Saccharomyces cerevisiae S288C: one gene and its partners. The gene in region 2 interacts genetically with the main gene of each other region. Each region holds a gene or a part of one and is shown on either strand. Other genes may lie near its edges.

Evidence for each region. Genes that interact genetically often act in the same process or in processes that back each other up.
Region 1: mutations in SAC7 (region 2) and KRE1 together harm fitness more than expected from each alone (negative genetic interaction), as found in Saccharomyces cerevisiae (5 studies listed by BioGRID, with this or other methods).
Region 3: mutations in SAC7 (region 2) and TLG2 together harm fitness more than expected from each alone (negative genetic interaction), as found in Saccharomyces cerevisiae (5 studies listed by BioGRID, with this or other methods).

What each region holds. Positions count from the first base shown.
Region 1 is NC_001146.8:31,702-36,154, forward strand, and holds KRE1 (Kre1p), read right to left. Parts: upstream 2,535-4,453; coding exon 1,593-2,534; downstream 1-1,592. Other genes in the region: LEM3 (Lem3p), read left to right, coding at 243-1,487; VNX1 (calcium/hydrogen antiporter), read left to right, coding at 2,995-4,453. UniProt on the Saccharomyces cerevisiae protein: Involved in a late stage of cell wall 1,6-beta-glucan synthesis and assembly.
Region 2 is NC_001136.10:1,250,861-1,257,347, reverse strand, and holds SAC7 (GTPase-activating protein SAC7), read right to left. Parts: upstream 4,812-6,487; coding exon 2,847-4,811; downstream 1-2,846. Other genes in the region: E1 ubiquitin-activating protein UBA2, read left to right, coding at 501-2,411; RVS167 (amphiphysin), read right to left, coding at 5,714-6,487.
Region 3 is NC_001147.6:289,289-293,658, forward strand, and holds TLG2 (t-SNARE syntaxin TLG2), read right to left. Parts: upstream 2,787-4,370; coding exon 1,593-2,786; downstream 1-1,592. Other genes in the region: TOS7 (Tos7p), read left to right, coding at 1-1,265; ESC8 (Esc8p), read left to right, coding at 3,241-4,370. UniProt on the Saccharomyces cerevisiae protein: t-SNARE that functions in transport from the endosome to the late Golgi and on the endocytic pathway.

The DNA of each region.
Region 1 (4,453 bases), on a different chromosome or scaffold from region 2:
AGTGTGGCAAAATGCAAATGAGCGTTCTGGTAGTATGTGTCCAATGTTGTAGTGTCAACTTTGTCTGCCGTTCTGGTGGCTTTTGACAGTTGATTTTCCAACGATTATTATTATGCGCGAAATTAAAGAAAAGGAATCTTGTATGATGATAAAATAAATAGATCAAATTAAATCATCAGTACAGACCAGAAAACAATTAAGTGTCCTTTTAGAAATACGAGAGGGTGGTAAAATATTGAAGAATGGTAAATTTCGATTTGGGCCAAGTTGGTGAAGTATTCCGTAGAAAGGACAAAGGAGCTATAGTGTCCGGAGACAACCCAGAAGAAGAAGAAGACGTCGATGCTTCTGAGTTTGAAGAGGATGAAGTAAAGCCTGTGCGTACAAAGAACAGAAGACCCAAAGAGGATGCATTCACTCAACAAAGATTAGCGGCTATAAACCCGGTGTTAACGCCGAGGACAGTTTTGCCTCTTTATCTGTTAATTGCTGTTGTATTTGTTATTGTAGGAGGGTGCATATTAGCACAGAACTCCAAAGTGGATGAAGTAACCATATATTACCAGGACTGTATGACTAACGCAACCTCATCATGGAGCGACATCCCTTCTGAACATTGGCAATTTGTATTTCACAAATATAAAACATATAATACTGCACCACAATGGAGGTTTGTGGATGATGAATCAGATGACTTCACAAAACAAAGAGGTACATGCCAAATCAGGTTCACTACTCCAAGTGATATGAAAAATAACGTATATTTGAATTATGTGCTGGAAAAATTTGCTGCCAATCACAGAAGATATGTACTATCTTTTAGCGAAGATCAGATACGTGGGGAGGACGCCTCTTATGAGACGGTGCATGATGCAACCGGTATAAATTGTAAGCCACTATCTAAGAACGCCGATGGTAAAATATACTATCCATGTGGCCTAATTGCGAACTCAATGTTCAACGACACGTTCCCCCTGCAGTTAACAAATGTAGGGGATACGTCTAACAACTATTCATTGACAAATAAAGGAATCAATTGGGAATCTGATAAAAAAAGGTACAAAAAAACCAAATACAATTATACACAGATAGCACCTCCACCATATTGGGAAAAGATGTATCCAGATGGATACAACGAGACGAATATTCCTGATATTCAGGATTGGGAAGAGTTCCAAAACTGGATGAGGCCAGGTGCTTTTGATAAAATTACAAAACTGATCAGAATCAATAAAAACGATACTTTGCCAGCGGGTGAATACCAGTTGGATATCGGTCTGCATTGGCCAGTATTGGAGTTTAATGGTAAGAAGGGAATCTACTTGACTCACGGTTCTCACCTTGGCGGTAGAAATCCATTTTTAGGTATAGTTTACCTGATTGGAGGCTGTATTTGTGCTGCCATGGCATTGATATTATTAACGTTTTGGCTCTTCGGCGGTAGAAAGATTGCTGATGCATCAAGTTTGTCATGGAATATGAAATAGAAAAGGAGTGATGGTTTTCTTTATTTTTAACCCTGTAAAATTTTTTTATTTTTTTATTTTTACTCTTATATATGTATATGTTTGTGTTTATTTCTGAATAAAAATTTATAAGAACCAAATTAAAACCGTTAATAGCCCACCCAAAATTGAAGTAAACGAACTCATACCTAGATGCTGGGCCTCATTATGCGAAACTGTTTTCTTTATTGCAGATTTAATAACGCCTACAGTACCGGTTAAAGTACCCATCCCAATAGACCCCACGGAGGGAGAAGCGACTGTTACGTACTGGGAGGAGAAACGCTGGACAAAAGTAGTTTGCACAGTGATAGTGTTGCCCTGTCTAACAACAGTGACCCACATGGACGTTGGCGCACGTGTGGTTGTGTAAGTGGAGGTTGTACCTTCAGTGATGGTAATGTATGAGTCAATAGATAGACTAGTGACAGCAGACACAGGAGGTTCTGTGAAGTCTGTGGAGGGGTCTGGCCTGGTGCCTGTTTCAGCTACTGCGCTCCCTGTCGATGTGGTCGTCTTTACACTGGAGGATGAACCAGACGAAGATACAGACGAGGACACAGACGAGGAGGCGGATGAAGTAGCACTGGTGCTAGAATGTGTGAACGTTTGAGTCAATGTAACTGTGGTACCCAAATCGTTTGTCGTGGTAACTGTAGATAAATACAGTCCCGAAGACAACGATGAAGTTGCGGTAGGAACAGTGGTGGTTGTCTTACCAGTAGATGAGGTAGAAGTCGTCGTGGTTGGTAGCATAGTGGCTCTGTTGACTGTCTGAGTAAGAGTGACGGTGGTTCCGACATCGTTAGTGGTAGTGAATACCGTAGTGAAGAAACCTGTTTGAGCGGTAGTTGTAGCAGCAGCAGCAGCGGTGGCAGGGTCCCATATTGTGGTCTCCGTAACCAGGGCCCCTGCGACATTTGTTACCACTGTAACCTGAGTTGTCACAGCTGCCATGACCGCAGCTGACCACAACGACAAAGAAAGTAGCAGCGTAGCGAATGAATGTAATAGCGTGCGACGCATCATTTTTTTTTTGATTGTCTTGCAGAAGTTGAAGAGGTCTTTACTGTAGCATATACAAGTGCTTAATTCTTGATTTTTATTTTCTTTTTTTCATAATACACGTTATAGAAAAAGCCCCATTCTCAGTTTATGAAAAAACGCGATATCACCATACACGCTGAGGTAGGGGGATACAAGGTGAAGAATGTACGCAATAAGGCGAAGTATATGGCACAATTGAGCAGTAAAAGTGTTAAAATATAGTGATATATATATATAAAATACGAGAGTACCAACTATTATGATCTTTTAATGCCCTCTTTCCGTTGAGATATTCATAATAGTAACCGTCACGGAACTGTCGCTTTATACGGTGAGGGGATTATTTAGTTCCTAATTTATATTAGATAAAGAAGATAATAAACATGAGGGATGCTGTAAATGAAAGTGAAATAACTGCTAGCTAGAAGAGCGGTAAGCAGCAATGGCCAAAAATAACCACATTTCTGCCAGTGGTAACAGTACCTCTGGAGACCATCGTCTTAAAGAGGAGGTTCTGACCCCAACTACATCTGCCTCGACTCCTCATAGAATATTTAGCGTGGACGATGATCCAAAGGAGATCCAAAACGATATCAGGTATCTTGAGGGTCTGCATGAAGGGTTGAAGTTCGCCCTGCATGCCAATAAATCCAAGCGATCTGTAAGCTCGCAATCACCAATCGTACATAGCAGCAACAACACGCTGCACCACCACGAGCACCAACAACACTTGCCGCCCACACTAGAGTCGCTATCCTCCAAGTCGCACTCTGTGCCAGACTTAAATACAGCTACTCCCAGCTCTCCGAAACGAATGCATTCATCTATCCGGGAATTACCTCATGATGACAATGATGACGAGGACGCCAATGATGACAGTCGGTTCATTATACACGACTCGCACGGCCATGATTTACTTATAGACGAGATCAATTGCCAGTCGCCTTCACACTTGGAAAACAATGACCAGGCGTCTAATGCTTCGTCCACAGAGTCATTCACTTTACGAGAAAGACAGGACGCCATCAACGAGACCCACCCCTTCGGTATCAGGATATGGAAGCCTGCTTTATATAAGAAACACCGTTCAGTTCAAAGAACCGCGGCGCAAGACATTCACGAGACTCAGTTGAAGACTATTACCTGGGAGGTGACTTGTTCCAATGTGCTATGGTTTATTTTGTTCGGTTTCCCCATTGCGATACTCTTCTACTCGGCGGCTATTGTGGTATTTTTACTAGGCGGCGGAGGACTGGTAACGAACTCTGCGAAGGAGTACTCCAAGTGTCTGTATAAACTCGCCAATTATTTCCTTTGGCCTTTTGGCAAAATGGTATACTTGTTGCAGGACGAGCAATATTTACAAGAAGATAAGGATGAAGGTATTAGTATGCAGCAATTCTACAATTGGGTGACTTCATACTCCAACAGGCTGGTCTTCCACCAGTCTCAGGCCAAGTTTCAGCAAAGAGAGGACCATCCGGCCCCTGCAACGGAATCTTCGTCTTTGATGCCGCCCGCTAACACAACAGCAACACCGCTTAACTCGAACCATCCATCATATAATTCTATTAGACACGAAATTCCGCACGCAGCGGCTCAAAGACGGTACTTTGGGAGAGGAAAATGGAGCTGGGGTCGTGTTCTTTTCTATACAATCTTCCATCTCGTCTTGCAACCCATCCTTGCCGTCTTATCTCTTTGCCTCTGGCTCCTGGTGTTTACCATTCCCATGAGTAATGTTCTTTGGCAAATTATGTATCATTGCAGAAGACATCCGCTTGCATTAGGCTTCAAATATGTCGAGAACTCCTCCCAATCGCACGAAAATGAAATAACCCAGCAGCAATTGAACAAAAATATCCTCTTATGTACGTTCCGTGCCGCTGGCTGGCATTACT
Region 2 (6,487 bases):
TTTTCTTTCCCCCCTTCAAGTAATTATTTAGAATAAAAAGTAGTGTTTAAAGACGACATTTTGGAGCATGCACTGTATAACCAGGTTCAAAAAAATTTCGCCTGCTATTGTTTTCTTTATTTTGAAGATGTGAGAAAAGTCTCATATCTAGTGAGCTTCAGTCTGTTTTTAGATGTAGTTAGCAATTACTATTTTAGGTATTTCTTTGCGCGGTTACGGTCTCAAGAATTTATATTACCACAAAACCTATGTAAGCTAGATCTTCTTAGCGAAAGTGGTTCAGTGGTTAGAATTCATGCTTCCCAAGCATGGGGCCCGGGTTCGATTCCCGGCTTCCGCATTTTTTGTGCAATTTTTTTTTATACTCTATTTTCAAGTTAAAGTTTTTCAAAGGCGAAGTATGTTTACGCTAAATCAAGATATTTGGATGAGCAATCCACTAATTGCGTACTTCAACAGACACACAAGATCAGGAGCGCTACGCCAAACAAGAAAAGAAAATGCCAAGGGAAACAAGTTTGGTAACAATCATCGGTGAAGATAGTTACAAGAAATTACGGTCCTCAAGATGTCTTCTGGTCGGTGCTGGGGGCATAGGGTCTGAATTGTTAAAGGATATAATCTTGATGGAATTTGGTGAAATACATATTGTCGATTTGGACACCATTGACCTTTCGAACTTAAACAGGCAATTTCTTTTTAGACAAAAAGATATTAAACAACCGAAGTCTACCACAGCCGTAAAAGCAGTACAGCATTTCAATAACTCTAAGTTAGTGCCTTACCAAGGAAATGTTATGGACATTTCTACCTTCCCACTGCATTGGTTTGAGCAATTTGACATTATCTTCAATGCTCTTGATAACTTGGCCGCAAGACGGTATGTCAATAAAATATCACAGTTTCTATCACTGCCCTTAATAGAATCTGGAACAGCTGGATTTGATGGATACATGCAGCCTATTATCCCCGGGAAAACTGAGTGTTTTGAATGTACAAAGAAGGAAACACCAAAGACTTTTCCTGTGTGTACTATCAGGTCCACTCCTTCTCAGCCAATTCATTGCATTGTTTGGGCGAAAAACTTTCTATTTAACCAGCTATTTGCGTCAGAGACCTCTGGAAATGAAGATGATAACAACCAGGATTGGGGTACAGATGATGCTGAAGAAATTAAGCGCATTAAACAAGAAACTAATGAATTGTATGAATTGCAAAAAATTATCATATCAAGAGATGCATCCCGTATTCCAGAGATTCTTAATAAATTATTCATTCAGGATATAAATAAACTGCTAGCCATTGAAAATTTATGGAAAACGAGAACAAAGCCAGTACCATTATCAGACTCTCAAATAAATACTCCTACTAAAACAGCTCAGTCTGCCTCTAATTCTGTTGGCACAATACAGGAGCAAATTAGTAATTTCATTAATATTACACAAAAATTAATGGATCGCTATCCCAAAGAGCAAAATCATATTGAATTTGATAAAGATGATGCTGATACTTTGGAATTCGTCGCAACTGCTGCGAACATAAGGTCACACATATTCAATATTCCAATGAAGTCCGTATTTGACATCAAGCAAATTGCTGGTAACATTATCCCGGCTATTGCAACAACGAATGCTATCGTTGCCGGTGCATCGTCATTGATTTCACTGCGCGTTTTAAATCTTTTGAAATATGCCCCAACTACTAAGTATACTGATTTGAATATGGCTTTCACAGCAAAGGCAAGCAATCTATCCCAAAATCGTTATTTATCAAATCCGAAACTAGCCCCTCCAAATAAAAATTGCCCAGTTTGCTCTAAAGTTTGTAGAGGTGTTATTAAGTTATCCAGCGATTGTTTGAACAAAATGAAACTAAGTGATTTTGTAGTTTTAATACGCGAGAAGTACTCATATCCACAGGATATTTCGCTCCTGGACGCAAGTAATCAAAGGTTACTATTTGATTACGATTTCGAGGATTTGAACGATCGTACTTTATCGGAGATTAATCTTGGAAATGGTTCTATAATATTATTCTCCGACGAAGAAGGTGATACAATGATCCGCAAAGCCATAGAATTATTTCTTGATGTTGATGATGAACTCCCATGTAATACTTGCAGCTTACCGGACGTTGAAGTCCCATTAATAAAGGCCAACAATAGTCCTTCAAAAAATGAAGAAGAAGAAAAAAATGAAAAGGGTGCAGATGTAGTCGCAACTACGAACAGTCATGGGAAAGATGGTATCGTGATATTAGACGACGATGAAGGTGAGATCACCATCGATGCTGAACCGATCAATGGTTCAAAGAAGAGGCCAGTTGATACTGAGATTTCTGAGGCGCCCAGTAACAAAAGGACAAAGTTAGTTAATGAACCGACTAATTCTGATATTGTTGAATTAGACTAATAAATAAGAAAAGGTATCTATATATTTATTTAATCGTGGTTCGCAGTGTACGACATAAATGTTGCAGAGAAAATGCTTAATGATCATGATCCCTGTTATAGCTTATATGAAACAGCCAGTCATATAACATAGAAATTCATTATTGAAGAGTTACAAGCTGTAACATTTCTCTGGCATATTAACAACTTAAGAATTTTTATTCTTTTATTTTATACTGATTAGCATCGCTACAGAATAATTGTCCGTAATTTGTCCTCTTCATGATTTATGTTATATATGTTCCCTTTATGGTTATAAATCTTGAAAGGGGAATGATGTTTATTTGTTATTTATACAGAAGGCAAAGAAAAAGAAAGAAAACCGCCAACAGGTTTTTAAGGGAAATAACGAAAAAAAAAAAAATGAGGAAATTAAAAGGAAAGAAAAATGGTGTTATCAAGCCCTGTTAGCAGAGCCTGAACGGCTTGTTAGTCTTTGAAACCATGATTCCCTCTTGCGTGATCTTGAATTTCTTTCATCCCCATCATCTTCGGTTAATGGTAAAGCATTACTGCGCTCATTATTGCTATGAGTGTTACTTAGTAATTCTAATTGATCAGCGGAATTATCATTACCACTGGTCAGGATCATTGAAATAGGTCTAGTGTTAAAGGACGAATTGGTACTGTTTCCACTCAACGATCTGTTCATTCGAGGAATTGGCAGATAATGCTGTTTGGGCAAAGAACCTGAGTGTACGCTAGATGGAGACTGACCGTATGGATCAACATTTTCTTCTTCATAATCATCACCTTCAGCTTCAGTAGCAGTTAAGTCGCCATTGTCTCCTGTGTCACTCAAAATTCCCGGTTTATGTAACCACGGGAATAAACTCGTTCTTCTTTTATTACTAGCAATAACATCCGGAGGAACCGGAGTAGAACCAAACGATTTTGAGTGTGGTCTTCTTTGCTTCGGAGGCTTTAACATTTTTGAAGTCTGTAGGTCTGATGAGTTCTCCGGTATCGAAGTAGATATTGGCGATAACGTCGTATGGTCTAGTTTATTGTTATTGTCAATCGCCGGTGGGTTTTTATTGGAAGAAACTATTGGTGGCGAATCCGATGAGGTGATCTTTGGTATTTCTATAGGATCAGTTTTCTGTTTATCTCCATTATTTTTCTTATTTTCGGTTGACAACCGTTCCTGTTGTTCCCTTTTAGCCAACTTCAAAAGATGGGGTAATAGCTTGTACGAGTATTCAATCAAAAATTCCACTACTAGTCGGGATAACTCGTATTCTTTGGGGTCCATATCATGTTGAGGATGCGATAATATTGAAGGTTGGAAGATGGCCGCCAAGTTTCTACCAGACATTAGGTTAAACTGTGATTGCCTTGCAAAAAGACTCAGTAAATCGAGTAGGTATATAGTTAGCTGTTTCGTGTCATTTGATAAGGTAACAAAGAGCTCTTCATATTCCTTGATAGCTGCCCTTATATCGCGGGTCAGCCTTCTCTTATGACGTATTTTTCTTCGTCTTTTTTCTTCATCATCTTTAGCGTCCTCCTTTTCGATGTCACCATCATTAGCACCATCATCATTATAGTTCTGTCTACTTGATTTTACTGTTACATTATTTGTTTTATTCGCATTCGGATGAGAAACTTCGTGGGTCAACATATGCCTTAGGATTCTTGGTCTAGATCGTAGCGGGTTTCTGAATTGTTCATATAGGGATAAAGGTATTAGTGGTTCGGCCAAATTATTAAGGTATCTCCTCAGGAGCGATGCAACATCGTGCACTGTATATGTTTCCCAATCGTTGAATTTGGTACCATAATCAGGTGGCGACGAGAATATGTATTGAAGGGCTTTTACTCTTTTACCATTGCCCGCTATACGAAATATACCCGAGGTCTCCAATCCATTTGCTTTTAAGTATGCGCCGCACTTGGCTACCACGATGGGTATCCGACCAAAACTCACCAACTCACTTTGAACAATGACCTCTGCACTGGCGACGCTCAACGATTCTGCTAAAGTAACACCGAAAACCCTACCTGTGAAACCATTTCTATTAGATAAAAACATATCTCTGTAATTTTTGAACTCTGCGTGAGGCGATGTTCCGGAATTAGCGTTGTTATTGTTATTGTTCTGTTTCGCGGATTTGGAAAAGGATTTCCTATCTTTGGTTGGGGTATTATATGAATATGGTCTTGAAGATAATGGAGGCCGTTTTAAAGTAGTTGGTTGAGCATTCCTTGAAAGAGAAGTTGGTGATCTAGGGACTGTAATATTTTCGGATGACATACTCTTAGGGTTGTTTATGAACTGCTTCCAAAAACTTGGGACATGACCTTTAGAGGGAGAAACATTTTCAATTTTGGAGCCTTGTTTAAGAGTATTATTTGGCATTATAAAGATATTTTTAGTTTATCTTAGTGGTATTGAGAGGATGAAAGTAAGACCAAAGCAGGAATCAAATTGGAAGCTCGAAAGCAAACTTGTGAAGGCTAATTTCTCTGCCCCTCTACTTTAGAAAAAAATTGCTGTGAAATGAGAACGGCTTTTTGAACACTGCAATATAACTTTCTGGAGAAAATTTGTTCTGATAACTTTGTGATGCGTGAAAGCTTAAGAGATCAAAAATATGTGGAGTTTTCAAGTCACTAGTGAATAAAACCAGTGGAATGGGTAAAAAAATTTTTTGTAACGGGCCTGCTATTCTAGGAAACCTAACGAAGACTTTATCAATTTGTTTTTCCTCTTCTGAGATCGTCCGATCAAGCCTAACAGTTTCGCGAGTAAAAAGGATGATTTCTTCTAAATTTAGTATTAAAGTAATGAATGCGTACACCCTGCTTGAAGATGTTGTGCAATGTAGCTCAGTTTCTTCCGCGCCAGGCCACTAGTCTTGCTTTTTTCCTGTTTGTCAGCACCGGTTTCCCAACTGGGCTGTGTCATCGACAAGACAGAGATGGTGTTTTATAAAAGAGAAAGGAGACTGAGGAACGTCGTTTTAGGAAGACTAGGCGAGGTGAGCGAGAAAACTGATTTCCCCATATGGTAGGCTTTGTACCATATTGGGAAGGTGGCAGCCCTATTGGGAACGCGCTCCTTCCCTTTTGGGATATTGTCAGTAGGGTAATATGCTCGCCGCATGCCCGTAATAGATAGACTCAAACGATACTTTGTTGGTGGAAGGATGAATTACCCTATATAGTATTTAAATTAAGAAACATTACAATAAAAGAAAAAGGTAATGGTAACATCTCACAATAGAAGGTAATGAATACAGAGGGATGCAGGGGCCTCCTCTAGTTCTTGTTGAGTTGCACGTAGTTCCCAGGAAACACACCTTGCTGGCCATTGTATCTTCCTGTCCACCATTCGTTCACGTCCGGAGTACGCTGGACAATTTCTATAACTGCGCCGGCAGGGAAAGACAAATCACCAGCAGCTTGAGCTTGGTAGTCATACAATGCGGTAACAGTTTCAACGCCAGGAGCTGCCGCTACGGCCGCGGCTGGTGTGCCCGCAACAGGTGATGTTAGAGGATTAGAGTAGGCCGGTGGTGGTCCCTGTTGCTGCTGTGGTGATTGTTGGAAGCCTAGCCCAGTGAGCGGTGGAGATTGCGCAGCAGCATACTGTGGATAAGTACCCGGAACAGCGCCAGCAGCAGCACCAGCAGCAGTACCAACAGCAGCAGCAGTACCAACGGCGGCAGCAGTACCATACTGGGCAGCAGGTTGAGCGGCGTAACTTGGTGCTGCGGCACCATAACCGTATCCTGTAGGGGTTGGAGAAGTGGCAGTTGCTGGATCATACCCAGCACCATATCCGACACCGCTTGATGCGCCACTGACGGGTGAGCCTTCGGCGGTTGCTACACCATACTTCCTTCTGGTCATCTCCAATTTTGCCTTAGAGTAACCGAGTTTAAAGTGTGTAATAGTCAAGGCGTCCGTTTGTTCTTCCACATTGCCTTTCTTGGCAATGTACGACTCTACAATGTCACTGTTCAAATCAAAATATGGAATCTTCATGTCTTGAAGTCTATTATACAAAGTGTAAAAAATGTTCAATTGCAT
Region 3 (4,370 bases), on a different chromosome or scaffold from region 2:
TTGTTAATTTGACATTTTCCACTCTAGGCTTTCTTTCTGCTTCTTTGATATGTATCGTGGTATTTTTACTGTTTTACCCACATGTAACCTGGTGTTCATGGGTCCTGATACCAGGAGCTGCTTTATCTCTACTAGTAATTCCTTTGATATTCTCAGCTTATTCAAGAAGCTCAGGCTCAAGGGATGATGACGAAACCGAGGAACTGGAAGAAAAGGGCATGCTGCTGAATGACCCATATCTAAGTTCGAAGTCCGGGAGATTCGATATCGACGCTGATAGTGAGGCCAACCTCCGTGGTGATTCAAGAACGAATTTATTGGGTGACAATTTTAAGAACGGTACTAATATCACTGTTGTCCCAGATATTATTTCACACAATCAAGATCCGAAATTATCAAACATAACCACTTCTACCACGTCTGATATTTCTACTTTCGATAAAGAAGCAAAGGACATGGAAAATTCAAATGGTTCCGGACTTAATGAAGAAGAGGACGATGGCATGGCCTATGACAAAAGGAGGTCAACTTCAACGTATTCTGTCATTGAAAGTGAAAGTGGCTTGAAAAATGGGAGTGTTTCTAATAATTATGTGAGAAACAATGGTAGTAACACCAGCAACAATATAAACTATAAAGTTCCGCTAGGAAAAACGGAAATATCATCCAGTGCATCATTAGCGTCCTCAGACTACTCTCAAAGAGAGGTCATACCGCACAGAAATCCTTCGAGACTACTAAACGACATCATGGAGACCTCCTTCAATGAACCAAACGATAGCCACATCAACAGCATGTCCTCCTACAACGATAAAGATTCAACGTTGACTTCAATATCACAGAGAGGTGTCAATCCGGAAGTATACAATCAAATGCCTCGAGAAACAGCCGCTGGTCCTGCAAATATAAGGCCGTACGCTGGTCAGCCACACCCGGCGCCATTAGTGTATCCCCAACAACGACTACAACCACAACAACAGCAACCACAGCAGCAATATCATCAATACAATTTATATCAAAGAACTACTCCTGCTGGTCCAGATCCTTCTAATGTTATTTTACAAAGCAATCCTTATTTCAACGTTGCCCCAAACCAAGTGCCACAGCACAGAAATCCGGTACCAGGCGTCGGTTTTGCTCCGAATCCTTTACCAAACCAAAGCCCGATAACACAAGGATATAAGCCTGCCTATAAGAGGAGAATGCAAAACAAAAACTTGCCCCGAGCTACTACTTCACTGAACAATCCTTACGGATTTAGGTAAAAAAAGAAAAATGAAGGTTCTTTTTTTTTTTTTATATTCTACAAATCACAATAACCACCAACTTGTATTAAACCATATTTTATCATCTTCAGGAACTACTTATGCACAATATTCGTTCGCCAGTCTTTACTTGCGGTTCAATTTTATCCCATATAAATTTGTATTTTATTATCATACTACATACTTTATTGAAATCATATATTAACCTTTTCACTTTTCTCAAATAGAACGAGCAACAGGTCATATGAACGCTGACTAAATCTCTCAATTTTCTTCAAAGCATATTATAGTTCAAAATCGCGATGCGGTACCGTGAAAGTTTTGTCATCAAAGTAGGTCATCCAAAGCATCATTCTCAGATTCTGTTACTTCAACGATACTCGGCAAGTTGCTCTCTTCGTCATTAATATGGGTATTACTGCCGTCATCATGACTGTTATTAACTGTTTTATTATCATCATTGTTGTACTTGTTGCTACCATTATTACGACCACCACTGCCACCGCCATGTGGTTTCAACATAACAAAGAAAAAGAGCGCTATTACGCACAATGTTAGTAATAAAATGACTTTACATTTTTGAGTTCTCTTCTGGTAGTGTGTTGCTTTATTCAACTCTTTATCTGCACTTTTTAGCTCTACCACTGTATTTTCCAGATTATAATCAATCCTGTCCACAATAGTCCCCTGGTCAACAACCAAATCTTGCATTTCCCTGAAAATAGTGCTCACTTCTAATACACCCCTTGCCAACTGAGTAATTTCTTCGTCACGTTCTCTCAAATATGCTTCTGCAGAAGTGTCATGAAGCTGTTGCTGTCTCTGCAACGTCCTTTTTGAATAGTCTTCAATATCGAGGCCCTCTCTCTTCTCTCTTGCTGCCTCCTCTTCCTCATCATCTAATAATAGCGTGTTCTCTGCACTGGCCTTATTGCGGATAGGTTTCAAATCATCCTTGTTCAAGAATTTCAAGTAATTATTTTGTAATACTCTGAACTTATTACTTTCAGTTTGTATCTTTTCTGCATAGATCTTCTGTAGATTATCTAGTATAATCAGCTCTTCTCGACTTAATTGCTTACCATCCACAAATTGAGAGTTGTATATGGTCTTTAATCGTTTCATAACAGCGTAACATTTCTGCAGCATCTGAATTACTTTGAAACTTAGATCTTCAATCAGCGCCTCATCATGACTCTTGTCTTCAAAGCCAGGTAACGAATTCTTCCTATAAACCTTCGCCAACTGCTCACTTAACCGTCTCACCTCCAGAAGATAATCATCAACATCCTGCGCTATATCAATAAATATGGGTGGTAACGCATCACTGTGATTCTCATGCTTGTTTTTTCGTTCATCTGTCAATCTGGCCGATATATCGTGAGACATATTCATCATCGGGTATGTACCCATTTCAATATCTTGATCATCGCCCAAGGGTGCTTTCCCAGATGAGAAAGTTATGTTATGAGGGAAAGTCCTACGGTATGATAAAAATAAATTAGTTCTATCTCTAAACATGTTTGTAACGACTGCCTAGATCACAAAGCGATAAAATGTACATCAATTGGAGACTTTCCTGTCTTGCCGTACTTATAGTCTATTCTGCTATAATCTATACGCACTCACTTTACACCTTAAAAGCCCAATACAAACCGGTCCAACAATTATAATTCATCTATAGGGCATATACAAAAAAAAAAGGTAGGTGTAAAAGATAATAAAATACAACCCTATTAGCTTTGATAAAAAATTAGTAGGGTTAGAATGTCATATGGTAGGGTGATATAAACGCGTGAACTTTACGCGTTTATATGTACTAAGTTATTTTCGGTATTAGAGAATACCATATCAACGACTAACTCTTAAGCTTTCGATTGTATGAGCTGAAGAAACGGCCTGCTCATTACCAGGATATCTCTTTTTTTTAGACATCAAACAAGAAAATAAGGAACAAGAAATTTGAGGTACAATAATGACAGAAATTATTGATTTAGACTTGGTCGATGACTTTATCAAGAAACCTATGGTCAAACAACAGAAAAACCAGTCTTCAAAGCCTAGGGTAAAAAGAAGGGGTCAGTTGACCTTTGATGATTTCAGAAACATCAAAATTGTAGAAGAACCTGTTGTACTTTCTCACAATAGTTCAATTGACGAATCACTGGATGCTGCTACCCAAAATACTAAAAAGCGGGAGAAATATGAAGGTACCTGTGATGAAGAAATGAAAACTAAAGAAATGGAGGCAAATATGGCAAGCAAATATTCTAATATCAAAACACATTCGAACGACACTAACAAGGTAGAGTCGATCAGTGAACACACTACTTCTAATAATAGACCATTGAATACATTAAACTGGTCACCAAATATTCCTTTACGATATTCTGACTTTGCAAAGTTTATGAGTGATGAGACGGTAACGGAAAGCAATTGGGCGCCTCCCCTTTGCACCCCTCTCCCATATGCAGGCGATGTTATGAAGATCCTTTCTTTTATCGTCAAATTTAAATGGGTGTTCAGCGACGATCTACTGAACCTGTCATTTCAAGATGTGGAGATAGGACTAGAATTAAAGGTGGCTGGCCATTCTGCGAAGAATATTCGAATTTGTCAGGATAAAATGAATCTACTATTTTGCAGTCTTTTGAGGTTATTATTCTGCTCCGAGAAAAGAGCAGACAACCAAACTCATAGAAATTTCACGCTAAAAAGATTTCTTAGTTTGAAAAATCCATATGGAAAACTGGTTGGCAAACTCAGAAGCTTAATCCAGGAGTGGGGCTTACCAAAAGAATGGCGTGGTAATAGTGATATTTTATCTACTCTAAATTTTAATGGAGGTGGTTTGTTGACGATGGAACCATTAGATAGAATAATATTATTGAGATGCATGATCGATTGGAATTGTAGCTACTCCGCACTTTTCCATAATGAAATTCAAAGGCTCACTCACTTGAAAGGCGATACAGGGTTCAACCATCAAACTTTTCACGCCAGCAGGTTTGCTATGTGCGGGGCCAATAACATATTAGATAGTTGTGAAGTTTTATGCTCTTTGATGAGTCAAAAGTTGGAAAATCGAAAGAAAAGGAAGCCCAG